4 linked regions of the Anolis sagrei genome follow. The protein of the gene in region 4 interacts with the protein of the main gene of each other region in a biochemical or structural test. Links are inferred from orthologs where the notes say so. Each region holds a gene or a part of one and is shown on either strand. Other genes may lie near its edges.

Region 1 (7,724 bases), on a different chromosome or scaffold from region 4:
GGGAGCGGGGAGGAGGGGAGGAGGGGCATCTCTCTGTCTCGGCCTTCTTCACAGCCCGCCCCACCCTCCAAGGAAAAGCAGAGGGACGTCCCCCGTCCCGACCCCCCCCCGTCCCCCCGTCCCGTCCCCCACGCAACCCGTCGGCTGAGGAGGAAGTTTCACCGAGTTGGGTCCAGCCTGACTCTTCTCTGCAGCAGACCCACTGGAATCAAATGGGAACTGGAGGTGACCAGTATCATCGCCCTCTGCAGATTCAACCCATCGCCAAGAAGGAAGTCAACACCTAACAGTGGGTCTGCCCTAGATGAGACCAGCATATTAGGCCAAGAGATCTATCTATGCCTGACTAACAGGGCATCCACACCGTAGAACAGGCATGGGCAGATTTGGGCCTTCCGGGTGTTTTGGATTCCAACTCCCAGCATTCCTAACAGCCTCAGGCCCTTTCCTTTTCCCCCTCAGCCGTTTAAGTCTGCCAAGGGGTGCCTCACCAAACTACAACTCACATGATTCCACAGCACTGAGCCCTGCCAGTTTGAGGCGGTGTCAATCTGCACTCACTCTACAGTGGAGATGCATCCAACCCCAGGGAGGTCAAGAGCATTTCTTTAGGAGTCTAAAGGTGCTCATAAAACTGCAGCTTCAAAATGGAAATATATAATAAGAGCGGAGGGTTCCATCCTAAAATTATTATTATTATTATTATTATTGCAATAGCATTATTATTGTTATAGTTTACTACTGATTGTGCATAACAAGCATGGGCAATCTTCGGCCCTCCAGATGTTTTGGACTTCAACCGGCTGTTAGGAATGGTGGGAGTTGAAGTAAGTTGAAATAAGACCAAAGCACCTGGAAGGGACTAAGTTTGCCCATGCCTGGTCCCTACACCCAAGCCTGGCCGCCTGCTGTGCATTTATTTATTATCAGAATTAGTATAAAACCGATAAAAATAGAAGGAGTGCAGGTGGCTAAATATCTTTGACCAAAAACGGGCAACAGCAACGGCATTGTCTGCAGCCTCCAACAATTCTGCCTCTGTACATGAGGCAGGGCATAGTGGACCAGTACACAGATGCGGAGTTGTCTGTTCTGCTCCACAGTGACACAAGGTGGGGGATTCTTTTGGGTTTTGCCAGGTTGTCCTTTGATCTGCCTACTCCACTTGTTCAGGGACTTCCAAGTTGCCCATTCGGGGGGGGAGGGGGGGCATCCAGTTGGGATTTCCTGGTTGAGCTGCCCAGAAGGATACCCTTGCTGTCGCTGGGGGGACGCCAAGAGGAGTGGTCGTTCTCATAAAGCCTTTCCTTGATTAGGGTCTACTGGGAGGAGACTGGTAGCCATGTAGTGGGTGGTTTTCACAGTGTTCAACCTTTTTTTTCATGTGCACTTACAGCTATGGATTTTTCCCCTTTGCTTCAAAAAAATGATGTCCCTGGCGCATCCCATCTGCAACTCCTGGAGGCTCCCTTCCCTCCCTTTCAAAGCTCTTCCACAACTATAACCGTGGACATGGACTCCCCCCCCCTCCTCCTCCTCCTCCTCCATGCCCTTGCCTCCCTACCAGAAGAGCCACCAACTTCTCTCCTGGCCCCCCTTTTCCCCCCGCCCTCCCCCTCCTGGCCCATACCTACCAAATCGGCTGTGGTCTTGCCTGGTGCCTTGGATGGTCCCATTGGGGAAAATCTCTAAATGGAAGCCAGTCCTGCAGTAGAGCTGCCTGCGCCTCAGGATGCCCTTTAAGTGGTCCAGGTCCGTCACGGCCGGCCCACGAGGCAGCCCCTCGGCCTGGCCCAAGTGGTCGCTCAGCAGGACCGGGCTGTCCGCCGGCAGGACCGGCATGTTCCCGAAGGGCGCCCCCGCCGCCGCTGCCGCTGCCGCATCCGGGACCCCGAAATAGTTGCCAACTTCTCCTAAGGGAGCCATGAGGAGGGGGAGGAGGAAGGAGGGAGGAAGGAAGGAAGAGGGAAGGAAGGAAGGAGGGAGGGAGGGGGGAGGTCCCTCGCTTGCAGCAAAACCGTCACGTCTGTGCCCAAGAGCCAGGACTCGCGGTTCTCTCCCGTTTCCCTTTCACGCGAGGAAAGGAGGCAAAGCAGGTTGCTGCGCCGCCACTCTCCCCTCCCACTTCCACGCCGAAAGGTGACTTCTTCCTTTAATCCATCAATGAGGATCAAGGCGGGGTCCTCCGAGGCCTCCTGCTCTCCTTTCCTGGCTGGGTCTGGGGTTCAAGGTCAACCCCTTAGGAAGCGCCCTCCGCCGCGGGGGACGCGCGTGGGCTCATCCTCCTCGCGCCCAGAGCCAGCGGAGAGAGATCCGGCTCGTGTGTTCCCCTGGCAGGGCTCCCTTCTAGCAAGCGGTCAGCTCTTCCGCCCATCCGGCCGTCATGAGGAGGAGCAGGGGGGTCCCGAGTTTCTCCGTGGGGCTCCGCATCGCAACTTCGGGGCCCTGAGGCCGAGGAGGAGGTGGAGAAGAAGGGGGGCGCATGGATCAGGGGCCGGGAGGAGGTGCAAGGGAGGGAAAGAAGCCTGGGAAGAGGCGCAGAGGCCAACCGGCCGCCCTCGGGGCTTCACGGGTCCGAGCCCCAGCCAAGCATGCGCTGTTTGGACTCTCTGCCCAGAAGGAGAGGAGGAAGAGGAGGAGGAGGAGGAGGCGAGGGGGGGGGGTCTCTCCCTCTCCCAAAGGACCCAAAAATCCAGAAAAGGGGCCGTTTGGTTGCTTCACTGCTTATTTATCAAGAAAGAACTTTTGACGTCCGGCTCTATGATCCAGGATCCTGAGGAGGCGGCTCGGCGCTTCAGCCTGGCGTGGATCCTCCTCCTCCTCCTCCTCCTCCTCCTCCTGTTCCACGCGAAGCAAGGCAGCCCTCCTCCTCCTCCTCCTTCCTCCTCCAGAGAGCTGCCGGTCTTCCCCGCTGGGCGCCCGTGCGGCGGAACAGGTGTAGGCAAGCTCTCCGCAAGGCTGCCTCTGCTGGGGCCGCGGCTGGTGCGGCGCCTTCTCGCTCTCTCGCCCGCTCTCCCTCGCTCTCTTTCTTCTCCCCCTCGGCTGTGTCTTTTCCATCCAAGCTCGCAGGGGAAAGTGGCGCAGGAAGAGGCATTGGGTTGGGTTTAAGGTAGTCCAGCTTGCGGGCGGGAGAAGGAGAGGGGGGGGGAGAGAAAAAAGGAGGGAGGGGAGGCCCAGAGGCTTCCCCCAGGTCCTAGCGCGCAACCTTCACCTGCGCAGCACCAGAGAGCCGCCGCCGCTCCCTCCCTCCCTCCCTGCTTCTCTCCTTCCCTCCGCCTCCTCCGTGACATCGAGTGGCCCGCTCGCTCTTTTTACTGCTCTGCGGCACTCCCGGCTCAGGCTCAGCCGCGGCTTGGGGAAAGAGGAAGAAAGGAAGGGGGGAAGCGCCAGGAACTTGGAAACGGAGCGACTTGTGGAACTGCAAAGATGCAGAATGGGGGGCAATGCCTGGCTCGAGAGCAGGCATTGGGGTCCTCGTGGACAACAAGTGAAACAGGAGCCAACAGTGTGATGCGGTGGCAAAAAAAAGCCAACGGGATTTTGGCCTGCATCAGTGTCTAGATCCAGGGAAGTCATGCTACCCCCCGATTCTGCCCTGGTTAGACCACAACTGGAATCACACAGTGTCCAATTCTGGGCACCACAATTGAAGAGAGATATTGATAAGCTGGAATGTGTCCAGAAGAGAGCAACTAAAATGATCAAGGGTCTGGAGAACAAGCCCCATGAGGAGCGGCTTAAAGAGCTGGGCATGTTTAGCCTGAAGAAGAGAAGACCGAGAAGAGACTTGTATAAATATGTGAGGGGAAGTCATTGGAAGGAGGGAGCAAGCTTATTTTCTGCTGCCCTGGAGACTAGGACGCAGAGCAATGGCTTCAAACTACAAGAAAGGATATTCCACCTGAACATTAGAAAGAACTTCCTGACTGTGAGAGCCGTTCAGCAGTGGAACTCTCTGCCCCGGAGTGTGGTGGAGGCTCCTTCTTTGGAGGTTGGATGGCCATCTGTCCGGGGTGCTTTGAATGCAATTTTCCTGCTTCTTGGCGGGGGGTTGGACTGGGTGGCCCATGAGGTCTCTTCCAATTCTATGACTCTGGTGCGAGAGAATTGGCTGTCTGCAAGGATGTTGCCCAGGGACTTCGGGATGTTTGATGTTTTACCATCCTTGTGGGAGGCTTCTCTCATTTCCCTTCATAGGAAGCTGGAGCTGACAGAGGGAGCTCTCACAAAGGGACCCGGTGCAAGGCAGGGTTAAACCAAGGGGCGATTTAGACCTACTGCTCCCCTGGACCTGAGAGTTGGGGCGGAGGGCCCGATCTGAGGCGGGCTTCCTCGGAGATCAAGCCCTCCCCACTTCCGAGTCCCTGCCCTGCCGCCCCAGACCCTGAACAGCGCCCACATACACTCCCAGGCGGGTTCATGGGGAGGAAAGCGCAGGTGGGCAGGATTCACGCCCCGAGAAAGGTCCGGCGCACGTGTTCCACAGGGAGGCGCGCCCAACGCGATCGACCCACGCGTCAAACCGGGATGAGAGGGGGACCTTCTCCGACACAATGCTCCCGGGATTTAGCGAAATGGAGAAAGAAGAGGCAAGAAGGGAAGGCGCAAGATGTCAACCCCGACAGGCTTAGTGGAAAGGGTTTTTTGTTTGTTTGTCTCTGACTCTGAAGAGCGGGGTTCGGATCCCCGCCAAGCCACAGAAACCCACACCGGGTGACCCTGGGCATGTCAAACATTTCTGCCCCAGGGCACACCAAAGCAAACGAGATCCAAATAAACCATGTCAAGAAAGCCCCGTGACAGATTCGCTTTTGGATCGCCATGAGTTGGAAATGACTCCAAGGCACATCACAAGGCTAGAAAACTACTTGAAAACATACAACCAACAACATTGTTCTGACCCACCAAGTGACATGTCCAGATGTGAAACCAGTGAGCCATTTTCTCTCCTGCATATCATCAGAAATTAATGGTAATCTTCCCCATTCGGCCATCCCTAAATTTGGGAAAGGAAGAGATTGGCAAAGAAAGGAAAAAATGAACTTTGCCTAACTCAGTGTTCCCAAGACCCACTGGTGGGCCACAAGACCTAAAATAAGGTCTACTGCGCCAGATTATTCAATATGGTCTTCTGTAGACAAGTAGATGGCAACTACTGGATGGTATATGTTCTGTAGAGCTGATGTTGTCTATCCAATGCAATTTTCTGAATCAGCACCCCAAATAACCACACCGAATCTAAAGTTTACCAAAAACTGATTCGTAACCCTTTTGGTACGAATGTTGGAGAGTGATCACTGGTCAAAGTGGTCCTGAGTCAAAGTGGTCCCTGGCCAAAGTGGTCCCTGGTCAGACTGGTCTCTGGCCAAAGTGGTCCCTGGTCAGACTGGTCCCTGGTCAAAGTGGTCCCTGGTCAGAGTGGTCCCTGGTCAGAGTGGTCCCGAGTCAAAGTGGTCCCTGGTCAAAGTGGTACCTGGTCAAAAAAAGGTACCAAGGGAACCACTGGCCTAATTGGATATGTGCATTATGTGCATTATTATCTCTGGCCCAACCCCTGTTCGAGTATCAGCCAGCACACCAGCGCCCTAAATCAAGAAATAGTTTTCTAAGTTCTGCAGAGATACTCTCTGGAACACCTCAGCAAGCGAGAGTCCAAAGTGACAGGCCTAAACCTAGAACCTCAATCAATGGCTGATACCAAATGAAAGACTCCCTCCTGGGCACATAAAAGACTGGGCGACTTGGAAGCCGCTGAACAGACTGTGCTCTGGCACCATGAGATGCAGAGCCAACCTTAAGAAATGGGGCCACAAAGTGGAGTCCACAACATGCGAGTGTGGAGAAGAGCAAACCACTGACCACCTACTACAATGCAACCTGAGCCCTGCCACATGCACAATGGAGGACCTCTTATAGCAACATCAGAGGCACTCCGTGGCCAGCTACTAGTCAAAGGACATTTAATAGAATGCCAAGTTTGCAAACTTTGTGTGTGTGGTTTTTTTAAAAATGCAATACAATTGTTTGGTTCACTCCTGACATGATAAATAAATAAATAAATGGTCAAGCAAGATCTGAAAAGCATACCTGGTACAGGTCAACTGCCAGAGTGAATGAATATGGACAGAGCCTGAGAACTTTACCTTTCTCCATGAGAACCTATCTACCACCAGAATCCTCTACTCTTCCTCCATGATTGGGAACCTTTAGATCAGGCCTGGACAAACATGGGCCCTCCATCCAAATGTTTTGGAGTTTAACTTCCATCATTCCTAACAGCCTCTTCCTTTTCCCTCTCAGCCACTTAAGTTGAAGAAAGGGCCTGTTAGGAATGGTGGAAGTCCAAAACACCTGGAGGTTCCAAGGTTGTCCATGCCTGCTCTTGAGATTGCAGTCCAATAAATACATATTTCCAAGTTCTGGGCTCTCAGGCCAATGGCACTAGATCTCTAAACTATAACCTCCATGAGAAGCTTTTTGACTATCCTCTGGTTAAGCCAGTGTTCTCAACCTTCCTAATGCCGCAACCCCTTAATACAGTTCCTCATGTTGTGGTGACCCTCAACCAGAAAATTATTTTTGTTGCTACTTCATAACTGTAATTTTGCTATTGTTATGAATTCTAATGTAAATATCTAATATGTAGGATGTATTTTCATTCACTAAACCAAACTTGGCACAAATACCTGATACGCCCAGATTTGAATACTGGTGGTGTTGGGGGTTAATTTTTGTCATTTGGGAATTGTAGTTGCTAGGATTTACAGTTCACCTACTATCAAAGAGCATTTTGAAATCCACCAATGATGGAATTGAACCAAACTTGGCACACAGAACTCCCATGAGCAACAGAAAATACTGAAAGGGTTTGGTGGGCATTGACCTTGAGTTTTGGAGTTGTAGTTCACCTACATCCAGAGAGCACTATGGACTCAAACAATGATGGATCTGGACCAAACTTGGCACAAATACTCAATATGCCCAAATGTGAACACTGGTGGAGTTTGAGGGAAATAGACCTTGAAATTTGGGATTTGTAGTTGTTGGGATTTATAGTTCACTTACAATCAGAGTATTCTGAACCCTGCCAACTACAGAATTGGGCCAAACTTCCCACACAGAACCCCCATGACCAACAGAAAATGCTGTGTTTTCTGACACTCTTTCACGAACCCCCCAGGTGTCCCACCCCGAGGTTGAGAAACACTGGGTTAAGCCTTGCATTTGGAAATGATTGCAGAAATTCCAGTGGTTCTTCTTGTTCACATTTGGGGGCCAGAGTTTGTTGTTGATGTGAACTGCCTCTTATTCTTGGTGACCCTATGAATGATAGACTTCCAAGTCATGAAGAGCCCTTCTACCATACCAAGCATTATTACCCTTTCTAGTGAGTCATCTCTTCTCAGTCTGAAGGCCTCTGACATTTCCAGATCTGAAGGCATGTGGATTCCAGAGGATCTGAGACTAAACACTGTTTCAAATTCACCCTTTTGAGACCATATCCTTGTGACCTCGTTGTATAATTGAGGGATTTAGTTCAATACTCTTGGGGATCCTGCATGATTTAAAAGGATGGTCTTGGTTCAGCTAAAAGTAGTCCATGGCAACTGCATTTTGAATCAGACATCCATGGGTGACCCTATCATTAGGCAGAGTGAGACACTTGTCTCAGGCAGCAGATGGTAGGAAGAGGCAGCAAGCTGTTGGGTGAGATCTAGGTGCCA
Region 2 (7,514 bases), on a different chromosome or scaffold from region 4:
GTCCTGAAACGTTTTAAACAGATGGCCTGGTCATAGTGCCTCAAACTGTTAGAGCGCCAGATCATAATTTGAAAAAAAGCATGAATGAATTCCTATGCACGCTGCATATATCTTATTTGTAGTGCAAAAAACACTTTAAAACAATACAATAATTAAAATGAAGAACAGTTTTAACAAATATAAACTTATTGGTATTTTAATGGGAAGTGTGGGCCTGCTTTTGGCTGATGAGATAGGATTGTTGTTGTTGTGTGCATTCTGGTCATTTCAGACTTAGGTTCACCCTGAACAAGGGCCAGGTAAATGACCTTGGACGGCCGGCAGTATCTGGTCCTCGGGCCTTAGTTTGAGGACCCCTGCACTACATCATGCTGGCTCTCTACACAAGCTCTACTCTGTATTGTCAAAGGCTTTCATAACCAGAATCACTGAGTTGTTGTGAGTTTTCTGGACTGTATGGCCATGCCCCAGAAGCATTCTCGCCTGCATCTGTGGTAGGCATCCTCAGAGGTTGTGAGGTCTGTTGGAAACTAGGAAAATTTCATTTATATATCTGTGGAAAGTCTGGGGTGCGAGAAAGAATTCCACAGATATATAAGCTCAATTTTCCTAGTTTCCAATAGACCTCACAACCTCTGAGGATGCCTGCCACAGACATGGGTGCAATGTCAGGAGATAATGCTTCTGGAACATGGCCATACAGCCCAGAAAACTCACAACAATCATGTAATACAATGTAATACTACTACTAATAATAATACAATATTATAATTATATATTTTATATTACATGTAATATTACTAATAATATTACAATATTATAGTATAGTACAATATTGTAATATATAATAATGATGTTGTACTACGCTAATAATATAATATATTGTATGTACAAGGGTTGAATGAAAAATAATGCCTCCACCTTTGTAACTCCTCAACAGATGGCAGTACTGGTATGCAGCAGGTACTGGCTTGTTCAGTAGACTCTCCTCTACAGTTCCATTTTGGTGGGAAGCCTTAGCATTGAACGGTTGTGTTGTTAAAGTGCGAAGTATAGAACCCTGCATAGACGATCGGTCAACGCGACTTAAGCAATATACAGTCATTGAATACTTGACAGCAGAAGGTGTCACCCCAAAGGAGATTCATCAGAGAATGCAAGCTGTTTATGGTGATTATGTTGATGTGAGTACTGTGCGTTGTTGGGCGAGTAAGTTTAAAGATGTTGAGGTGACACCTTCTGCTGTCAAGAATTCAATGACTGCACATTGCTTAAGTCACATTGACCGACTCTCTGTGCAGGGTTCCATACTTCACACTTTAATAACACAACTGTTCAATACTAAGGCTTCCTGCCCAAATGGAACTGTAGAGGAGAGTCTACTGAACAAGTACCTGCTGCATACCAGTACTGCCATCTGTTGAGGAGTTACGAAGGTGGAGGCATTACTTTTTATTCAATCCTCTTATATATAATTTATATGCTGCTCTGAGTCCCCTTCGAAGTGAGAAGGATGGCATAAAATGTTGTAAATAAATAAATAAACAACTCAAGCTCTAGTCTGTTTCAATATGCTAGCTATTTATTGAGTGGGTTTGTTTCTTGCTTTGAATTTATCTCTCAGGAAAAGTATCCTGAAGATGCCAGCCACAGATGCAGGCAAAACGTCAGGAGAAATCGCTGCTAGGACACAGCCATACAGCCTGGAAACCACACAACACTTCAAAGTATCCTATAGATCAGGCATGGGCAAACTTGGACCCTGCAGTGTTTTGGACTTCAACTCCCACCATTCCTAACAGCCTCAGGCCCTTTCCTTTTCCGCTTAAGCGGTTGAGGGGGGAAAGGAAAGGGCCTGAGGCTGTTAGGAATGGTGGGAGTTGAAATCCAAAACACCCGGAGAGCCCAAGTTTGCCATACCTGCTATAGATCTATGTTGTTGCTGTTGTGGCTGTGCTCAAGCATCCCTTTTGACGCACATTTTCCTTACCAAGTGTTCTTCTCCACGCGCCACGTTCTCGCAGGCAAACGATACCATTTCCCACGCACTTTCAGCTCCCTTTTCCCAGCTCTTTTGGATCCCGACCCGAAAAGGAAGAGGCAGAGCGTTTGCTTGACTTAGCACACCGACGCGCTCTTTGCGCACACGCGAGACTAGGCTTTTGCGCAACTTTCCCGCGGAGTCTCTTCATTTGCGGCAGGTGTTTCGGCGCCCACTTCCCGGCGCGACTGTGGCAGGGCGAGCTCACACCCCACTCGTGGCTTTCCCCTGCCTGTTCGTGTCCCAACAAAGCCTCCCTATTTTACCCACAGAGCCTTCAAAGTCGTCCAACACATCATCCTGGGTGGAACAGTGTTTTGGAGAGAGGAGGGCGAAAAGGTGAAAGTGTACACGTGGGGAATTATAGAATCCTAGAGTTGGAAGAGACCTCGTGGGCCATCCAGTCCAACCCCCTGTCAATAAGCAGGAAAATCGCATTCAAAGCACCCCCAACAGATGGCCAAAGAAGCCTCCAAAGAAGGGGCAGAGAGTTCCACTGCTACCCAAGCTGCAGGAAAAGAGATTCCACCTAAAAATTAGGGAGGAGTTCCTGTTCGGCAGTGGAATATGCTATCTCCTTGTCATAGAATCTAATAGTCATGGAAACATAGAGTTGGAAGGGACCCCATTGGGTTCAATCAAAGTAAAATCAAAGTACCCCCGACAGATGGCCATCAAGCCTCTGTTTCAAAGCCTCCAAAGAAGGAGCCTCCACCACATATGCTGCCTCCTTGGTATAGAATCTAATAATCAGAATCATAAAGTTGGAAGAGACCTTATGGGGCATCTAGTCCTGCATAGCGGAGTTCAATCGAAGTACAATCAAAGTACTCCTGACAGATGGACATCCAGCCTGTTTCAAACCAGAAGTTGGATGTCCATCTGTCTGAAGCGCTTTGATGTTGCAGGGGACTGGATGGCCCTTGGGGGTCTCTAGGATTGCAGGTGTGAGAGAATTGGCCGTCGGCAAGGACGTTGCTCAGGGGACGCCCGGATGTTTGATGTTTTACCATCCTTGTGGGAGGCTTCTCTCATGTCCCCGCATGGGGAGCTGGAGCTGACACAGGGAGCTCCTGTCGGTCAGCAGTCCTGCCGGCACAGAGGTTTAACCCAGGCATGGGCAAACTTCGGCCCTCCAGGGGTTTCGGACTTAAACTCCCACCATTCCTAACAGCCTACCGGGGTTTATATCTCTGTGGCGCAGTGAGTTAAACCCCTGAGCTGTCTAGCTTTGTTAGCCAAAAGGTCGCCGGTTCGAATCCAGGGAGCGGGGGCAAGCACCTGATGTTAGCCCCAGCTTCTGTTAACCCAGCAGTTCGAAAACATGCAAAAGTGAGTATATCAACAGGTACCGCTCCTGCGGGAAGGTAACGGCGCTCCATGCAGTCATACCGGCCACATGACCTTAGAGGTGTCTATGGACAACGCCGGCTCTTCCGCTTAGAAATGGAGATGAGCTCCACACCTCAGAGTCGGACACGACTGGACCTAATGTCAGGGGAAAACCTTTACCTTTCTCTATGGAAAGATGGCTGTCCAAGGTGCTTCATGTTCCAGAAACATTCTCTCCTGACGTTTCGTCTGCTTCTTTGGCAGACACCCTCAGAAATTGTGAGGTCTGTTGGAAACTAGAAAAATTGGGTTTCTATCTCTATGGAAAGAAGACTGTCCAAGGTGCCACATGTTCCAGAAGCATTCTCTCCTGACCTTTTGCCTGCTTCTATGGCAGGCACCCTCAGAGGTTGTGAGGTCTGTTGGAAACTAGGAAAATTGGGTTTATCTCTCTGTGGAAAGAAGAATGTCCAAGGTGCCACATGTTCCAGAAGCATTCTCTCCTGACGTTTCGCCTGTTTCTATGGCAGGCACCCTCAGAGGCTGTGAGGTCCGTTGGAAACTAGGAAAATTGGGTTTATATCTCTGTGGGAAGAAGACTGTCCAAGGTGCCACACGTTCTAGAAGCATTCTCTCCTGACGTTTCGCCTCCATCTATGGCAGGCACCCTCAGAGATTGTGAAGTCTGTTGGAAACTAGGAAAATTGGGTTTATCTCTCTGTGGAAAGAAGACTGTCCAAGGTGCCATTTGGGGGGAGGGGGGGCAGGAGAGGCACTGGAGGTGGGATGTGTGTGTGTGTGTGTGTGTGTGTGTGTGGATAGGGTGGGATGGGTTGGGGGAGCGAGTGGGCGAAGGCAGGCCATCCCCGGACAGATGAGAAGGAAGGGGCTGGCACATTGGCGAGCGCGCACAAGAGGAGGGACCAGGGCCGGGCCGGGGCGCACTCCTCCGAGAGAAAGAGAGAGAAGCAGAGGCAGAGAGAGCAGGAGAGAGAGGGAGGAACAGAGAAAGAGAGAGAGAGAGAGCCAAGCAAAGGGTAAGGAAGAGGCAGAGAGAGAAGCGCGCAGTGCGCCCCAGCCTCGCCAAGACCAAGGGAACCTCTCCAAAGGCGTTGCTTCCTCCTCCTCTCCTCGCCCTCTCCTCCCTCTCTCTCATCATCCTCTTCCTTGAGCTGTCAGTCCAAAGGCAAAGGCTCCGGGCTCCTCTCCTCCGCAGCCAGCGCCCTGATCTTCTTCTCCTGCCTCCTTCCCTCCTTTCCAAGCATCCTCGGGCATGGACTGGCCACCAAGTGGGACCTCTTGGCGCTGAGGAATCCTCGCCACCGCCCGAGGAAGAGGGCTCCAAGGAGAGAGCCTGGCGTGGAGGGAACGTGGAAAGGTCGCCGGCCCCGCAAAGGACCCCCGCCACTCACCCTTCCCACACGGGGTCCCTTCTCCTCCTTCTTCTCCAGCTTCGGGCTCCTCAGGATGAATCTCTTCTCCTCCATCTTCAGCTATTTGTAAGTCGGCTTCTTTCCTCCCGGCTTTCCTTTCTTTTCCAAGCTTCCTTGATTATTATTTTTCCCCCCATTTATATTTCTTCTCCATTTCAAAAAGTTCCCAACAAAACCAATCATCTCACCATCGACTTTTGTGTTTTTTTCCCTCCCCCCTTTTTCCCCTCCCCATTCCCTATTATTCTAGGGTACTGCACTTGTTTGCTTTCTGCTTGCAGGCACAGGTAAGGAACGGCTTTATTACTTTTTGAAGCGCCTTCTTTGGCTTTGTTTTTGTTTGTTTGTTTGTTTGTTTGTTTCGAGCGCGCCGCCAACGGTGACGCTTGAGCGCCTCTTCTTTTAAAGGGATGGCCTTCAAAACAGTCGGAGAAAGCTAGAAGGCACCGGTTTGGTGCAGAACCAAAGGCGCAGCAGAGAAGGGAAGGCAAATTTTTGTGGGGCAACCCAGATAAGAACTTGGCCAGTCCAAAAATACCCCGAGATTGCAGGTTGTTAAAGTTCTGACTCTTGGCCCTTACACACAGCCCGATATCCCAGAATATCAAGGCAGAAAATCGCACATTATCAGAGTGTAGACAAAATTAACCCAGTTCAAAGCAGATATTGTGGGATTTTCTGCCTTGATATTCTGGGATATAGGGCTATTTGGAAGGGCCCTGAGTGTGGACTCAAATAAACTAGTTCAAATCAAATATCGTGGGATTTTCTGCCTTGATATTCTGGGATATAGGGCTGTGTAGAAGAGCCCTGAGTGTGGACTCAGATAACCCAGTTCAAAGCAGATATTGTGGGATTTTCTGCCTTGATATTCTGGGATATAGGGCTGTGTGGAAGGGTCATCAGCCATCCTGTGCCATCCTAAGAATAGAAGCTTATCCCAGCTTCATCTGACTGTAGGTTTCTGCTGGGTTTTGAAGTTTACTTCTAATACTTTTGCTATATTTATTACTGAGGGTTACTTTGAGCCTAACAGCTCAGGGCCCTTCCACACAGCCCCATAACCCAGAACATCAAGGCAGAATAACCCACAATATCTGCTTTGAACTGGGTTATCATAGGGCCCTTCCATACAGCCCAGTATCGCTGAATATCAAGGTAGAAATTCACACATTATCCATGTGTGGACTCAGATAACCCAGCTCAAAGCAGATATTGTGGGATTTTCTGCCTTGAGATTCTGGGATATAGGGCTGTGTGGAAGGACCTCCGTGAGTCGCCCTAGGGCTGAGAACGGCGGTCTACAAGTGCAGTAAATAAATAAATAAATAAATAAGGACCCCTGAGTCCACACTGCCATATATCCCAGCTCAAAGCACATAATGTGGGATTTTATTCAAGCTGTGTGGAAGGGGTCTAAGAGCCCTTCCACACAGCGATATAACCCAGAATATCTAGGCAGATAACCCATGTTAACTGCTTTGAATTGGAATATACTGCAGTGTGGACTCAGATTATCCATTTCAAAGCAGATATTGTAGGACTTTCTGTCTTGATATTCTGGGACAGAGAGCTGTGTGGAAGGGCCCTAAGATTCCCCAACACAGATAGATAGATGTGGAACATACAAGATAAAAAATAAATGTTGATTCATTTAATTTTGAATTAATTAATTAATTAATTTTAAATATTGAATTAAAATTTAATATGTATTAATTTTAATTCAATGGATTTTAAGCTTAATGTGGTATGCGTTGCAAGGCTTTGGATAATTGCCATATGTAAGTCCGCCTTGAGCTCCCCTTGGGGTAGAGAAAAGCAATGTATAAATAGGAGAAATAATAAATCATAATAATAATAATAAAAACTTTGCCCTTAAAATGGTAAACACTTGTCTTCAGTTCCTAAAAGTTTAAGAAATCAATATAATAGGCAGACATTTTCATTTTTAAAAAAACAACAGCATCAAACACCTTGGTTTTATTCATTTGTGTTTTCTAGAAATTAGAAGTGATCCTATGGAATCTCTATTCCTGCTGCTGCAATATTGATTGCAAATGCAGAGAGCAGAAGGCAAATGCTTACAAAGGGGGAAAACAACCCTCACCAAAGAGAGAGAGAGAGAGAAAGAGAGAGAGAACAAGAACAGGTGTAAGATTTTGAGTTAAATCTGCAATCACCTTCTAATTCTATAAGCCTGAGTATGTAACAAAGATGGCTCTGAATGAAAGGGACTTGTGTAAAAACTGTGTTGGAATAATTTGTGGCTATCGGGTGGAAGTCAAAGGGGCTGTTTGGTTATCCACATGGTCCCCTCATCAGAGCTAGCAAGGGAATCCAGAGATATTATCAAAAGCGTCTATAGGAAACGTGTTTGGCACACACTTTTCCACACACACACAAAAGGAAAAGAGAGGTGAATTGTCAAGGGAAGCCCTCTATAAACTCCAGATTCAAGGAGGGGGTGATTTTCCCATCAGTATGGAAGAACCTTAGCATTTGATGTAGAGGCTTGAAGGTGATCCAGCCAGTGCTTTGAGGGGGGGGGGGGGGGGGGGAGATGACTTCATGCAATGCCACCCCATGTGGTTGAAAGGAGCAAATCTCCACCACATTTGCTCAGAATACATCTTTATAAATGTCAGGGGCCAACTAAAGCCCTCCAGACTTGAAAGGGAGACTGGAGATGTAGAAGGGATGGAAGAATT
Region 3 (7,119 bases), on a different chromosome or scaffold from region 4:
TATACGTATATATGTGTGTGTGTGTGTGTATATATATAAAACAAGCAATGAAGAATATCCATCAGTTCCATACAGAGTATTAACAAGATGGAAAACATTTACATGAATCTGCAAGAAGAGGGTGAAAAGATGAAATCAATAGTTTTGTTGTTGTTGGGGGGGGAGGCTCTTTTCCTAGGTGGCTGTGAGTTCTTTTTGGGCTGTATTGCCATGTTCCAGAAGCATTCTCTCCTGATGTTTCACCCACAAGTGAGGTTTATATATCTTTGGAATGTCCTATTTTTTTTCCTATTCTGACCATGTAGAGGCATAAGTGGTAGGCTCTGCATTCAGATGAATGTTAACAGGTACATCATTTTTTTTAACAGTACAATCCTGTCACTGCTTACTCAGAAGGGAATCCCACTGAGTTTGGTACAAGTTACTCTCAGGATTGCAACCCCAAGATGCTTAACTTTGATCCACTGCTTCAGGTTTTCAAGTTTTTAAAACTGTGATTTAATCTGTGTGAATAACTATCACCTTCGTAGCCAAAACACTCTCCCTTCATCCTTATGAATACACATCTCCAGATGTCACGCTTTGCTCCAGTATGCTGAGGGGGAACAGATCCTGAGGTTTGCTTGGGAAGATGTGTTCAGAGCAGGCTTGGGAGGGAGGCTTTGCCTGAGGATGAGAGAGTGTGACTTGCTCAAGATCCCCCAGTGGGTTTCCATGGCCTGGTGGGGATTTGAACCCTGCTCAAAATTGTCCAATGCTCAAACCTCTGCTACAGATTGAAGAGACCACATGGGCCTTCCAGTCCAGTCCCATTCTGCCATGCAGAAAACACCATCAAAGCCCTCTGGACAGATGGCCATCCAGCCTCTGCTTCAAAACCTCCAGAGAAGGAAACTCCTCACATTCCCCTACCGAACAGCTCCTCCCCTCAAGAAGTTCTTGCTAATGCAGAGTCACACAAGCTTCCAAAAATATTGGGAGCTGAAAGGATGTTCAATCTCTTTCCCTAAAGCTTCATAGAATCAAAGAGTTGGAAGAGACCTCATGGGCCATCCAGTGCAACCCCCTACCAAAAAGCAGGAAAATCACATTCGAAGCACCCCCAACAGATGGCCATCCAGCCTTTGTTTAAAAGCCTCCAAAGGAGCCTCCACCACACTCTGGGACAGAGAGTTCCACTGATGAACAGCTCTCACAGTTAGGAAGTTCTTCCTTATGTTCAGGTGGAATCTTCTTTCCTGTAGTTTGAAGCCATTGTTCTGCATCCTAGTCTCCAGGGAAGCAGAAAACAAGCCTGCTCCCTCCTCCCTATGACTTCCCCTCTCATATTTATAAATGGCCATCATGTCTCCTCTCAGCCTTCTCTTCTGCAGACTAAACATGCCCAGCTCTTTAAGTCGTTCCTCATAGGGCTTGTCCTTTGATCATTTTTGTTGCCCTCCTCTGGACACATTACAGCTTGTTGGCATCTTTCTTCAACTGTGGTGCCCAGAATTGGACACAATGTTCCAGATGTGGTCTGACCAAGGCAGAATAGAGGGGTAGCATGACTTCCCTGGATCTAGACTCCTATTGATGTAGGCCAAAATCCCATTGGCTTTTAAAGCTGCTGCATGACATTGTTGGCTCATGTTTAACTTGTTGTCCACGAGGACCCCAAGATCTTTTTCTCACATAATGCTCTCAAGCCAGGCATCCCCCATTCTGTATCTTTGCATTTCATTTTTTTCTGCCTAAGTGGAGTGTCTTGCATTTGTCACTGTTGAACTTCATTTGGTTAGTTTTGACCAATCGTCTCTCTAATCGGTTAAGATCGTTTTGAATCCTGCTCCTGTCTTCTGGGGTATTGGCTATCCCTCCCAATTTGGTGTCGTCTGCAAACTTGATGATCCTGCCTTCTAAGCCTTCCTCTATCTAAGTCATTAATGAAGATGTTGGGTTTGAACCCCTTGCTCCTGTGCTAGCCTCCAGAGCAGCAGAAAACAAGCTTGCTCCCTCCTCAATGTGATATCTTTCCAAATATTGAAGCATGGCTCTCCTGTCTCCTCCTCTCAGTCTTCTTTCCTCCAAGGTAAACAGACCCAGCTCATGGCCTCGATGGCAGAGCTGCACTCTCGCCGCCCCTTCCCCGTGTTGAGGAAAAGCCTAACCCTGATGTGTCCCCACCCGAAATGCGAGGAAGTCCCTTGAAAGACCTGCCCAGGAGGACGAAGCCAAGCGGCAGGAGCTGAAGGCAAAGGCCCAAGCGAGTCCTCTGGGGGACTTCTGTCCCAAGTCTGGGGGATTTCAACTCCCAGGGATGACAGATTTTGGAATTGGAAGAGATCGCAAGTGGCACCTTCTCCAACCCCGTCCTGCCCTGCAGGGACACAATCAAAGCGCCCCCGACGGATGGCCACCCAGTCGAAGCCCAGCCACCCAAGCGGCTTCCCGCAAAGCCCGGCCTTGGCGCCTCTTTCCTCCCGAAGGACTCCGGCAGGTGCGGCGAGCCCTGGAGAGGAGAGGCGGCCCTGGGAACTCGCGGGGACTTGCTGGGCCTCCGGGGAGCTCCCGCCTCACCTGGAAATGCTTGAAGAAGGCGGAGATGCGCGTGATCTGCAGGCTGAGGCACCGGGAGGCGCACCGGGCGCCGGAGACGCTGCCGGCCGCCGAGAAAGAGTCGTCCTGCCGCCGGGAAAGAGCCATTTCGCCCGCCCCGGAGCCCCAGCCGGAGGCCATGGCCAGGAGGAGAAGGGGCCAGGCCACGCCGGGATCCCGCCGCCGCCGCCCCATGGCTCGCTGAGAGACAAGAAGAAGAGGAAGAGGAGGAGGAGGAGGAAGCAGCAGCAGCAAACGCCGGCCCGAGGCGCCTCAGGAAGCAGGAGGCGAAGGAGACGCTGCCACCTCGCCGAGCAGCACGACAGAAACTCCGCTCGAAGGGGAAGAGGCGAGCGAGCGAGCGAGCGAGTGAGGGAGAAGAGGGGCGCGCCAAAAAGAAAGTTCAATCATTCAACTCCCTCCAAGCCCCCGCCTCCCTCCCTCCCTCCCTCCTCTCCCAGGAGGAGGGTGGGGAAAAGGTGACAGGAGGCGGCGCCATTGGCTGGAGGAGGCGCGAGTGACAGGCGGGACGGGAGGTCGCGCGGGCGCCGCGGGAGGGGGAAGGGGGCTGCGCGCGGAGGGGCTGCCTGCGGGGGCGGGGCCAGAACTTCCCCTCACGTGGCCGCACGTGAGCGGACTGCGGCGGAACCCAAGGGAACACCTGCCCGGACCAGACTCCCGGGGAGAGGGCGGCGTCTCGCGGGAGCGCCCCAACTTTGAGCGGCGTCTGTTTCGGACTTCAGCTCCCAACCTTCCTGGCTGTCAGTCAAGCTGGTTGAAGCTTCTGAAGTTCAGAGTACCTAAAGGGCCAAAGTTGGGAACCACTGGTTCTCGCCCTAATACAGTGGTTCTCAACCTGTAGGTCCCCAGATGGGTGATAGTATGAGAGCTGGGGCCTGAAGCGCCGAGCGTTATGCACATTGTGAATAAGGGAAGGGGAGAGCGGCACACTGAGGGTAGGAATATACTTCAGTTTGGTGGAAGGATAGAAAGGCGAGGAGGGTTAGGATAAAGTTTAGGGTAAGGTTTAGGGTTTGGGGTAGGGTGAGGCTTAGGGTTAGAGTAAGGCTTAGGGGTTAGGGTAAGGCTTAGTGGTTTTACCATTAAAGAATTTGTACATTCCTTCTATAATATCTGTCTTCCGTTCTGCGTTGCGCAAACAGCGCTCCCAAAGGAGCGAAGCGGAAAGAGTGTACGTCTCAGAGCTTCCGGACCCAGTTGTCATACTATTACCCCCAGATGTTTTGGCCTTCAACTCCCAGAAGTCCTAACAGCTTGTAAACTGGCTGGGATTTCTGGGAGTTGTAGGCCAAAACACCTGGGGATCCACAGATTGAGAAACACTGCCCTAATGCAACCTGAGGCCACAGCAGAGGATGGAAAACTTATTTATTATTTATTTATTTACGATATTTATAGCCCGCCTTTCTCATCCATATGGCAACTCAAGGCGGGTTACAATTTGATGCCAGAAATTCATAAAAGTGCCATTAAAAATAACATTACAATATAAAACATATATAAAAACCATTAAAGCATATAATATTCAGTGTTACCCTGTTAAAAACATTATCCAGTAACATCGTCTGGCTATTTTATGTTCATTATTCATAGTTCTGTGTTATCTATTCCGCTGCAATCTCAAAAGCTTACTCAAAGAGCCAGGTCTTTACTTTTTTTTCAGAAAGTCAGGAAGGAGGGGGCCGATCTAATATCCCTGGGGAGGGAGTTCCATAGCCGGGGGGCCAACACTGAGACGGCCCAGTCCTTTGTCTCTGCCAACCACACTTGTGAGGCAAGCGGGATCGAGAGCAGGGCCTCCCCAAGCGATCTTACACTCTTAGATGGTTCATAGGAGGAGATACGTTTGAGCAGGTAAGCTGGGCCCAAATCATTTACGGCTTTTTAGGCTAAAGCCAGCACTTTGAATTGTGCTCAGTAACAAATTGGCAGCCAGTGTAGTTGACGCAATATAGGAGTTGTGCGCCACTCCTGTTTGTAACCTGGCAGCCGCCCATTCACACCTGTAGCCGGGGGGGGGGGGGGGTTAGGAGTTCAATCCCCCCCCCCCCGAAACTTTTCAGGTTAGAAAAAAAAACCTGGTTTACTCATGAATTTTAACTGGCTAACCAAATCTCCATGCTAAGTCTATGAGATTGCACCTGCAGAAAAACCATCAAATGCACTGGAAGCATATCTTGTCTGTGACGGACAGTTTTTTCCGAATGTGAAGAAACTTTTTCAGATTTCTGCAATATTGCCAGTGTCAACAGCTACAAATGAAAGGTCGTTTTCAACCCTTAAACGTTTGAAAACATACACAAGAAGCACAAGGAGGCAAGAAAGACTGACTGGACTTGTACTCTTGAGTGTCCACCGAAGTTTATCAATAGAGCCTGATTTCTGTCAAAGTGTATTGACACAGTTTTCAAGTGTTTCTAACAAACATTGTGGTATTCTTTTGTAACTATAAATTATCAATTAGCAATCATTTTCAGTTATTTTAAGACTTGAAACTTTAACTAAAATAGAAATTTGATTTAATGAACTCTATATAAAATATAATTGAAACCATATAATTTAAAGTATTTTATGTTATGGCATGATGAAACATGCCTGTTACCCTTTGTAGTCTTTTACCTAGGTCATTACTATCTTAAATGCTGGTTATAAGTTTTAATCCTTGTTTTATCGGTTTTATCTGCTGTTTATTCCACCCACATCTTGTGGCTTAATCAGTTTTGGCTATTTTTGCCCTTACTAACCTTGCATACCTTGTATCTTCTACCTTTTACGAAGCAATAAGGATCTTTGGACTGTATTAAAAATGTTGTTGTGTTATCGAACTACTCTTCATGATTTGCTAAAAAAAGTTTCAACCCTCCCTAAAAAAATCTTTCTGGCTATGGCCCTGCGCCCATTGGATCATTTGAAGCTTCCGAACAGTCTTCAAAGGCAACCCCACATAGAGTTTGTTGCAGTAATCTATTTGGGATGTAACAAGAGCGTGGACCACTGTGGCCAAGTCAGACTTCTCAAGGTACGGGCGCAGCTAACGCACAAGTTTTAACTGTGCAAATGCTCCCCTGGTCACCGCCAAAACTTGAGGTCCCAAGCTCAGCGATGAGTCCAGGATCACACCCAAGCTGCAGACCTGTGTCTTCAGGGAGTCCACTTCTTTATTTTATTTGTTTATTTATTTGATGCACTTATTAACCGCCATTCTCAGCCCATAAGGGCGACTCATGGCGGTGTACAGTACACATAAAAGACAATTACAAAAAAGCCAGTTTCAACAACATATAAACTATACAACAATTACAGACTACACTAAAAATCCGCTTCATCTCTTAGTGGAATCATAGCCAGTCTCATATTCCTTGTTCCATTCCAGTTCTCATTACCGTATTGTTTAGCACTTAATTAAATGCCCTCTCGAACAGCCATGTCTTAAGGCTTTTTCGAAAGGACATGAGGGAAGGCGCCTGTCTGATGTGTGCAGGGAGAGTGTTCCACAGCCGGGGGGCCACCACCGAGAAGGCCCTCTCCCTCGTCCCCGCCAGCCGTGCCTGTGAGGCAGGCGGGATCGAGAGAAGGGCCTCCCCAGACGATCTCAAGGTCCTCGTGGGCTCGTAGGCCAAGATGCGGTCGGAAAGGTATTTTGGGCCGGAACCGTTTAGGGCTTTGTAGGCCAAAACCAGCACCTTAAATTGGGTCCGGTAGCAAATCGGCAGCCAGTGGAGCTGGGACAACAAGGGCGTTGTGTGCTCCCTGCCACCCGCTCCAGTTAGTAACATGGCTGCCGCGCGCTGAACCAGCTGAAGCTTCCGGGCCGTCTTCAAGGGCAGCCCCACATAGAGAGCGTTGCAGTAGTCCAGGCGGGATGTGACAAGAGCGTGTACCACCGTGGCCAAGTCAGACTTCCCGAGATACGGGCGCAGCTGGCGCACGAGCCTGAGCTGTGCAAATGCTCCCCTGGTCACCGCTGAAACCTGGGGGTCCAGGCTCAACGATGAGTCCAGAGTCACACCCAAGCTGCGAACCTGCGCCTTCAAGGGGAGTGCGACCCCGTCCAGCACAGGCTGTAACCCTATACCCCGTTCGGCCTTGCGACTGACCAGGAGTACCTCTGTCTTGTCTGGATTTAGTTTCAGTTTGTTCGCCCTCATCCAGACCGTTACAGCGGCCTCCTTAGTAGCAGGTGGGAAGGAGTGACAGAGTTGGACATCATCTGCGTACAGATGACACCGCACCCCGAAACTCCGGATGATCTCACCCAGCGGCTTCATGTAGATATTAAACAGCATGGGGGACAGTATGGAACCCTGTGGCACCCCACAAGTCAAAGGTTGTGGTGCGGAACAGGAGTCCCCCGATAACACCTTCTGGGTGCGGCCCTCCAGAAATGACTAGAGCCACTGCAGAGCAGTGCCCCCAATACCCATTTCCGCAAGGCGCCCCAGAAGGATACCGTGGTCGACGGTATCGAAGGCCGCTGAGAGGTCCAGGAGCACCAACAGGGACACACTCCCCCTGTCTAGC
Region 4 (8,196 bases):
TTTTTAAAGACTTCATCACATTCCACTTCATCGCACTAGAGAAAAAAATTCCACTTAAAATCTGGTTTCTGCTCCCTGCAGAATTCTGGGGTTTGTAGTTTAGTGAGGCTGCTAAACTACAAACCCCAGAATTCTGCAGGATGCAGAAACCGAATTTAAAGTAGATTTTTTTTCTCAAGTGTGAAGAGGTTCTTTTGAAGCAGGGAAGTGTTTGGTAGAGTAGTGCTCAGTCTTACTTTTGAAATGAAATGGATGATTTCCTGGACCATTTTAAGACACTTTAGAAACACAAGGTTTGAATGAAAAGTAATGCCTCCACCCTCGTAACTCCTCAACAGATGGCAGTACTGGTATGCGGCAGGTACTGGCTTGTTCAGTAGACTCTCCTCTATAATTCCATTTTGGCGGGGAGCCTTAGTATTGAACAGTTGTGTTGTTAAAGTGCGAAGTATGGAACCCTGCACAGACGGTCGGTCAATGCGACTTAAGCAACGTGCAGTCATTGGATCCTTGACAACAGAAGGTGTCACTCCAAAGGAGATTCATCAGAGAATGCAAACTGTTTCTGGTGATTGTGTTGATGTGAGTACTGTGCATCATTGGGCAAGTAAGTTTAAAGATGTTGAGGTGGGAGCATCTGATTTGCGTGACAAAGAGTTGGATGTCCTGTGACAGCAACCACTGAGTTTCACAAACAAAAGGGTGACAGATTGATTCAGGACGATCGTCATATCACTCAGAGAGAAATTTCAAGCACAATCGGCATTTCACAAGAACGTGTGGGTCACATTATTGCTTTGCTTGGTATCGGAAGATCTGTGCATGATTGGTACCCAGGATGGGAGAACCGTGGGATGCTAGTTGTGGAAACAGCGTGTCGACTTCTTCTGTGACGGCTTCAGAAAACTTGTTCATCTTTGGCAGAAATGTATCCAATTGTCTGGAAATTATGTAGAAAACTGAATAGTGGTAGTTGAAGAGCACATTATAAGGATTCTTTCTGTGTTTCGTTTATTAAAATATTCCCATCCAAACCCAAGTAATGAAGGTTTTTTGTTCTGATTTGTGTGACAAACAAAGAGTTGGACGTCCCCTGACAGCAACCACCCAGTTTCACAAGCAAAAGGTTGACAGATTGATTCAGGATGATCGTTGTATCACTCAGAGAGAAATTTCAAGCATAATCAGCATTTCACAAGAACGTGTGGGTCACATTATTGCTTTGCTTGGCTATCGGAAGATCTATGCACGATGGGTACCCAGGATGAGAGAACTGTGAGATGCTGGTTGCAGAAACAAGAGTGTTGACTTCTTCCGTGACGGCTTCAGAAAACTTCTTCATTGTTGGCAGAACTGTATCCAATTGTCTGGTGATTATATGGGAAAGTGAATAGTGGTAGTTAAAGAGCACATTCTAAGGATTATTTCTGTGTTTCATTTATTAAAATATTCCCACCCAAACCCAAGTAATGGAGGTTTTTTGTTCTGACTTGCATGACAAACAAAAAGTTGGACGTACTGTGACAGCAACCACCAAGTTTCACAAGCAAAAGGTTGACAGATTGGTTCAGGACAATCATCGTATCACTCAGAGAGAAATTTCAAGCATAATCGGCATTTCACAAGAACGTGTGGGTCACATTATTGCTTTCCTTGGCTATCGGAAGATCTATGCACAATGGGTACCCAGGATGAGAGAACTGTGAGACGCTGGTTGCGGAAACAGAGTGTCGGCTTCTTCTGTGACGGCTTCAGAAAACTTGTTTATTGTTGGCAGAAATGTATCCAATTATCTGGTGATTGTGTAGAAAAGTGAAAACTGGTAGTTAAAAAGCATTATAAGGATTATTTCTGTGTTTCATTTATTAAAATATTCCCATCCAAACCCAAGTAATGAAGGTTTTTCGTTCTGACTTGCGTGACAAACAAAGAGTTGGACATCCTGTGACAGCAACCACCAAGTTTCACAAGCAAAAGGTTGACAGATTGATTCAGGACAATTGTCGTATCACTCGGAGAGAAATTTCAAGCACAATCGGCATTTCACAAGAACGTGTGGGCCACATTATTGCGGAAGATCTGTGCACGATGGATACCCAGGATGAAAGAACTGTGAGATGCTGGTTGCGGAAACAGAGTGTCGACTTCTTCCGTGACGGCTTCAGAAAACTTGTTCATCGTTGGCAGAAATGTATCCAATTGTCTTGTGATTATGTGGAAAAGTGAATAGTGGTAGTTAAAGAGCACATTCTAAGGATTATTTCTGCGTTTGATTTATTAAAATATTTCCATCCAAACCCAAGTAATGAAGGTGGAGGCATTACTTTTCAGTCAACCCTCATACCTTGACATTCTGTTACCACTAAGAAAAAAAAAGGCATAGCAATGAGCAATACAAACAACTGATTGCAACAGGTTAACATTTCTTAATCCAACAGCCTTAATTTCCAAACAGGTTTCGAGGTTCCTTGAAACACAAAAGAATCATAATACTGTATATTTGAATGTAACAAGAAGCATCCACATTGTCAAATTAGTGCAGTTTGACATTGCTTTAACTGTCATGGCTTAATGTTATGGCATTCTGGGAATTGTAGTTTGGTATAGCACCAGCTCCCTATGGCGGAGAAGGCTAAAGTTTGTAAAACTACAACTCCTGGGAATCCATAGCACTATTTATTTATTATTCGTGTCATCCGCAACCAGAACATTGTATTACATTTCTAACAGAACAAAACAAACAAACAGATAAAAAAACAACACAAAGTTTGCAAGCTTGGTAGCTGATTAAATGTCCTTTGAGCAATATCTGGCCCCTTGGAGTGCCTCTGGTGTTGCCGCAAGAAGGTCCTCCATTGTGCATGTGGCAGGGCTCAGGTTGCATTGCAGCAGGTGGTCTGTAGTTTGCTCCTCTCCACACTCGCATGTCGTGGACTCCACTTTGTGGCCCCATTTCTTGAGGTTGGCTCTGCATCTCGTGGTGTCAGAGCGCAGTCTGTTCAGCGCCTTCCAAGTCGCCCAGTCCTCTGTGGGCCCAGGGCGGAGTCTCTCATTTGGTATCAGCCATTGGTTGACGTGCTGGGTTTGAGCCTGCCACTTTTGGACTCTCACTTGCTGGGGTGTTCCAGCGAGTGTCTCTGTAGATCTAAGAAAACTATTTCTAGATTTAAGTCGTTGACGTGCTGGCTGATACCCAAACAGGGGGTGAGCTGGAGATGTCTCTGCCTTGGTCCTTTCACTATTGGCTGCTACTTCACGGAGGATGTCAGGTGGTGCCTGTGTCATTTCTCCAGTGGTGTAGGGCGCAGGCACTCCGTGATAATGCGGCATGTCTCATGAAGAGCCACATCCACTGTTTTAGCGTGGTGAGATGTGTTCCACACTAGACATGCATACTCAGCAGCAGAGTAGCCAAGCGCAAGGGCAGATGCCTTCACTGTGTCTGGTTGTGATCCCCAGGTTGTGCCAGTCAGCTTTCGTATGATATTGTTTCTAGCACCCACTTTTTGTTTGATGTTCAGGCAGTGCTTCTTGTAGGTCAGGGAACGGTCCATAGCACTGAGTCATGGCAGCTAAAGTGGTGTCAAACTGAATGAATTCCACGCTGCAGATGCCTCCCCTTTTTACCTCTGTATTGGAAAAAGAAGGGAAAGGGGGTTACCCAAACCTAAGAGTGACTGATCCTCGTGCCTGGATTGCTAAATTATGTTTTAATGTTGCATCTGTGATTCATACTGGATTGCTTCCACCTCCTGAAAAAAATGCACTTCCTGCCTCTGGAATTACATTTTCTGGGGGTGGAAAGCAAATTAGAATGAATTCCTTTCTCCTTTGTAGTATTTAAGACCGTGTTTCTTAACATGGGGGTTGGGACCCCTGAGGTGGGTCGTGAGGGGGTGTCAAAAACATCACCAAAGACCAGCAGAAAACACAGTATTTTCTGTTGATGATGAGGGTTCTGTGTCGGAAGTTTGGCTCAATTCTATCCTTGATGGAGTTCAGAAATCTCTTTGATTGTAGGTGAACTATAAATCCCAGGAATTATAACTCCCAAATGTCAAGTCTATTTTCCCCAAACTCCATCAGTGTCCACATTTGGGCATATTGAGTATTTGTGCCAAGTTTGGTCCAGATCCATCATTGGTTGAGTCCACAGTGCTCTCTGGATGTAGGCGAACTACAACTCCCAAAACTCAAGGTCAATGCCACCAAACCCTTCTAGTATTTTCTCTTGATCATGGGAGTTCTGTGTGCCAAATTTGATTCAATTCCATCATTGGTGGAGTTCAGAATGCTCTTTGATTGTAGGTGAACTATAAATCCCACAAACTACAACTCCCAAATGTCAAGGTCTATTTTTCCCAAACCCCACTGGTGTTTCCATTTGGGCATATTGAGAATTCATGCTAAGTTTGGTCCAGATTTATCATTGTTTGAGTCCACAGTGCTCTCTGGATGTAGGCGAACTACAACTCCAAAACTCAAGGTCAATGCTCACCAGTATTTTATGTTGCTTGTGGGAGTTCTGTGTGCCAAGTTGGGTTCAATTCCATCATTGGTGGAGTTCAGAATGCTCTTTGATTGTAGGTGAACTATAAATCCCAGCAACTACAACTCCCACAGGACAATATCAGTACCCTCCCCCAATCCCACCAGTATTCAGATTTGGGTGTATTGGGTCTTTGTGCCAAATTTGGTCCAGTGTATGAAAATACATCCTGCATATCAGAGGTTTACATTACTATTCATAACAGTGGCAAAATGGAACTAATGTTATGGTTGGTGGTCACCATTACACGAGGAAGCATATTGAGGAGTCGTGGCATTAGGAAGGTTGAGAACCACTGATATAGATGGTTGACAATGTAAACATATTGGGGAGAATGGAGCTTGGGAAGAATAAGAACTTTTGGCTTCCTGACCCTTCATTCTGCTTTTCTCTCTTTGTCCCCAGTGTTTGGATGCCTCTGCCCTGGAGAGCAAAGAGCTGAGCAGATCCAAGCGAGAAGAAGTCCATCTCCCGTTTGCCCATCGAGGCCCAAGGTCCAAGTCCTCATGGAGTCCGGGAGCAGCGTTTCCAACCTGTAGCCACAGATCTGGGATGTTGACGTGGAAGTGCCTCCTCCTTTGGGCTGTGCTGGTCACAGCCACACTGACCACTGCAAGGCCAGCGCAAACCCTGCCAGAGCAAGGTAGGAACAGAAGTATTGGGGTGCCGTTTGGTTTCCAAGCCGTTGATGAATTGGAGTGATTTCAGGCTGCGTGTACGGTCACAAGAACACATTTTTTGCAGCTCTCAAGGGATGCTCAAGTGCAAATATGGCTAGGTCTACATTGCCATATAATCCAGTTTCTGAATCTGTTTTGAACTGGAGATTCCACCTGAACATGAGGAAGAACTTCCTGACTGTGAGAGCTGTTCAGCAGTGGAACTCTCTGCCCCGGAGTGTGGTGGGGGCTCCTTCTTTGGAAGCTTTGAAACAGAGGCTGGATGGCCATCTGTCAGGGGTGATTTGAATGCAATATTCCTGCTTCTTGGCAGAATGGGGGTGGACTGGATGGCCCATGAGGTCTCTTCCAACTTTTGGATTCTATGTTCAGCAGTGGAACTCTCTGCCCCGGAGGGAGTGTGGTGGAGGCTCCTTCTTTGGAAGCTTTTAAACAGAGGCTGGATGGCCATCTGTCGGGTGATTTGAATGCAATATTCCTGCTTCTTGGCAGAATGGGGTTGGACTGGATGGCCCATGAGGTCTCTTCCAACTTTTGGATTCTATGTTCAGCAGTGGAACTCTCTGCCCCGGAGGGAGTGTGGTGGAGGCTCCTTCTTTGGAAGCTTTTAAACAGAGGCTGGATGGCCATCTGTCGGGTGATTTGAATGCAATATTCCTGCTTCTTGGCAGAATGGGGGTGGACTGGATGGCCCATGAGGTCTCTTCCAACTTTTGGATTCTATGTTCAGCAGTGGAACTCTCTGCCCCGGAGGGAGTGTGGTGGAGGCTCCTTCTTTGGAGGCTTTTAAGCAGAGGCTGGGTGGCCATCTGTCAGGGGTGGTTTGAATGCAATATTCCTGCTTCTTGGCAGAACGGGGGTGGACTGGATAATGGCCCAGGAAGTCTCTCCCAACCCCCAGGATTCTATATGAGTCTACATTGCAGTATAATCCAGGCCCCATCCACACATACAATCCAGTTTATCTAATTTGAACTGGATTATGTGACAGTGTAGACCAGGCATGGGCAAACTTGGGTCCTCCAGGTGTTTTGGACTTCAACTCCCACAATTCCTAACAGCCGCTATCTGCTTTGCACTGAATTATGTGGAGCTGGATCCACATTGCCATATAATCCAGATTATCAAAGCAGATAATGCACATTGCTTGGTTTGAGCTGAATTATATGGGGCTGGATCTACACTGCTGTATAATCCAGATTATCAAAGCAGATAATGCACATTATTTGGTTTGAACTGAATTATATGGGGCTGGATCTACAATGGCATATAATCCAGATTATCAAAGCAGATAATGCACATTATTTGGTTTGAACTGAATTATATGGGGCTGGATCTACACTGCCATATAATCCAGATTATCAAGTCAGATGATCCACATTATCTGCTTTGAACTGAATTATATGGGGCTGGATCTACACTGCCGTATAATCCAGATTATTCAAGCAGATAATCCACATTATCTGCTTTGAACTGAATTATATGGAGCTGGGTTTACACTGCCATATAATCCAGATTATCAAAGCAGATAATGCACATTATTTGGTTTGAACTGAATTATATGGGGCTGGATCTATACTGCCATATAATCCAGATTATCAAAGCAGATAATTCACATTATTTGGTTTGAACTGAATTATATGGGGCTGGATCTACACTGCCATATAATCCAGATTATTCAAGCAGATAATCCACATTATCTGCTTTGAACTGAATTATATGGAGCTGGGTTTACACTGCCATATAATCCAGATTATCAAAGCAGATAATGCACATTGCTTGGTTTGAACTGCATTATATGGGGCTGGATCTACACTGGCATATAATCCAGATTATCAAAGCAGATAATGCACATTATTTGGTTTGAACTGAATTATATGGGGATGGATCTACACTGTGATATAATCCAGTTCAAAGCAGACAGTCTACATTCTATATGGCAGTGTAGCTCCAGCCCCATAAAATCCACTTCTAAGTAGCTAATCCCAATTCAGGAACTGGATTATGTGGCCGTGCAGATTGGACCTGTGTCTCTTTGGTGCTCTGTTTATATACAACTGTTGGCCCTTTCTACACTGTCATATAAAACCCAGATTATCTTCTTGAACTGGATTATATGGCAGTGTAGACTAATATAATCCAGTTCAAAACAGATAATGTGGATGGTTTACTTTGGATTACACGGCAGCATAGAAGGGGCCTGTGATAGAGATAAATGCAGTCTTTGGAATGATAGATATCAGTTTAGAGGTTTTGTGATGAAAGGTGTTGCTTCTTACTGCCTGGGGACATCCTTTGTTGAGAGGTGATTAGCTGTCCCTGATTGTTTCTTGTCTGGAGCTCCCCTGTCTTTATTTACTGTTATAATTTTAGAGTTTTTTAATACTGGTAGCCAGATTGTGTTCATTTTCATGATTTCCTCCTTTCTATTGAAATTGTCCACCTGCTTCTTGTGGATTTCAATGGCTTCTCTGTGTCGTCTGACATGGTGGTTGTGAGAGTGGTCCAGCATTTCTGTGTTCTCCAATAATATGCTGTGTCCAGGCTGGTTCATCAGGTGCTCTGCTATGGCTGACTTCTCTGGTTGGAGTAGTCTGCAGTGCCTTTCGTGTTCCTGGATTCGTATTTGGACGCAGCTGCTGCGTTTGGGGGTCCCTATGTAGCCTTGTCCACAACTGCATGGGATACAATATTTTATTTATTTATTTATTTCGGGTATTTCTACCCCGCCCTTCTCAACCCCCGAAGGGGGACTCAGGGCGGCTTCCAACTGGCATACATCTGGAATATTGTGTCCAATCCTGGGCACCACAATTCAAGAGAGATATTGACTCTAAGCTGGAATGTGTCCAGAGGAGGGCGACTCAAATGATCAGGGGTCTGGAGAACAAGCCCTATGAGGAGCGGCTTAAGGAACTGGGCATGTTTAGCCTGAAGAAGAGAAGGCGGAGAGGAGATATGATAGCC

The links.
Region 1: the proteins of FGFR1 (region 4) and FGF9 interact in a biophysical measurement, tested with the Homo sapiens proteins (2 studies listed by BioGRID and IntAct, with this or other methods). The link is inferred for Anolis sagrei from reciprocal best matches to the Homo sapiens genes FGFR1 and FGF9.
Region 2: the proteins of FGFR1 (region 4) and FGF8 interact in a biophysical measurement, tested with the Homo sapiens proteins (2 studies listed by BioGRID and IntAct, with this or other methods). The link is inferred for Anolis sagrei from reciprocal best matches to the Homo sapiens genes FGFR1 and FGF8.
Region 3: the proteins of FGFR1 (region 4) and ANOS1 form a complex in vitro, tested with the Homo sapiens proteins (3 studies listed by BioGRID and IntAct, with this or other methods). The link is inferred for Anolis sagrei from reciprocal best matches to the Homo sapiens genes FGFR1 and ANOS1.

What each region holds. Positions count from the first base shown.
Region 1 is NC_090023.1:28,766,441-28,774,164, reverse strand, and holds the start of FGF9 (fibroblast growth factor 9), read right to left. Parts: upstream 3,172-7,724; 5' UTR 1,927-3,171; coding exon 1,635-1,926; intron 1-1,634.
Region 2 is NC_090023.1:216,673,874-216,681,387, reverse strand, and holds the start of FGF8 (fibroblast growth factor 8), read left to right. Parts: upstream 1-4,388; 5' UTR 4,389-4,840; coding exon 4,841-4,872; intron 4,873-5,056; coding exon 5,057-5,093; intron 5,094-7,514. UniProt on the Homo sapiens protein: Plays an important role in the regulation of embryonic development, cell proliferation, cell differentiation and cell migration. Required for normal brain, eye, ear and limb development during embryogenesis.
Region 3 is NC_090023.1:94,145,520-94,152,638, reverse strand, and holds the start of ANOS1 (anosmin-1), read right to left. Parts: upstream 3,015-7,119; 5' UTR 2,773-3,014; coding exon 2,560-2,772; intron 1-2,559. UniProt on the Homo sapiens protein: Has a dual branch-promoting and guidance activity, which may play an important role in the patterning of mitral and tufted cell collaterals to the olfactory cortex. Chemoattractant for fetal olfactory epithelial cells.
Region 4 is NC_090027.1:2,236,259-2,244,454, reverse strand, and holds the start of FGFR1 (fibroblast growth factor receptor 1), read left to right. Parts: upstream 1-5,005; 5' UTR 5,006-5,101; coding exon 5,102-5,192; intron 5,193-8,196. UniProt on the Homo sapiens protein: Tyrosine-protein kinase that acts as a cell-surface receptor for fibroblast growth factors and plays an essential role in the regulation of embryonic development, cell proliferation, differentiation and migration.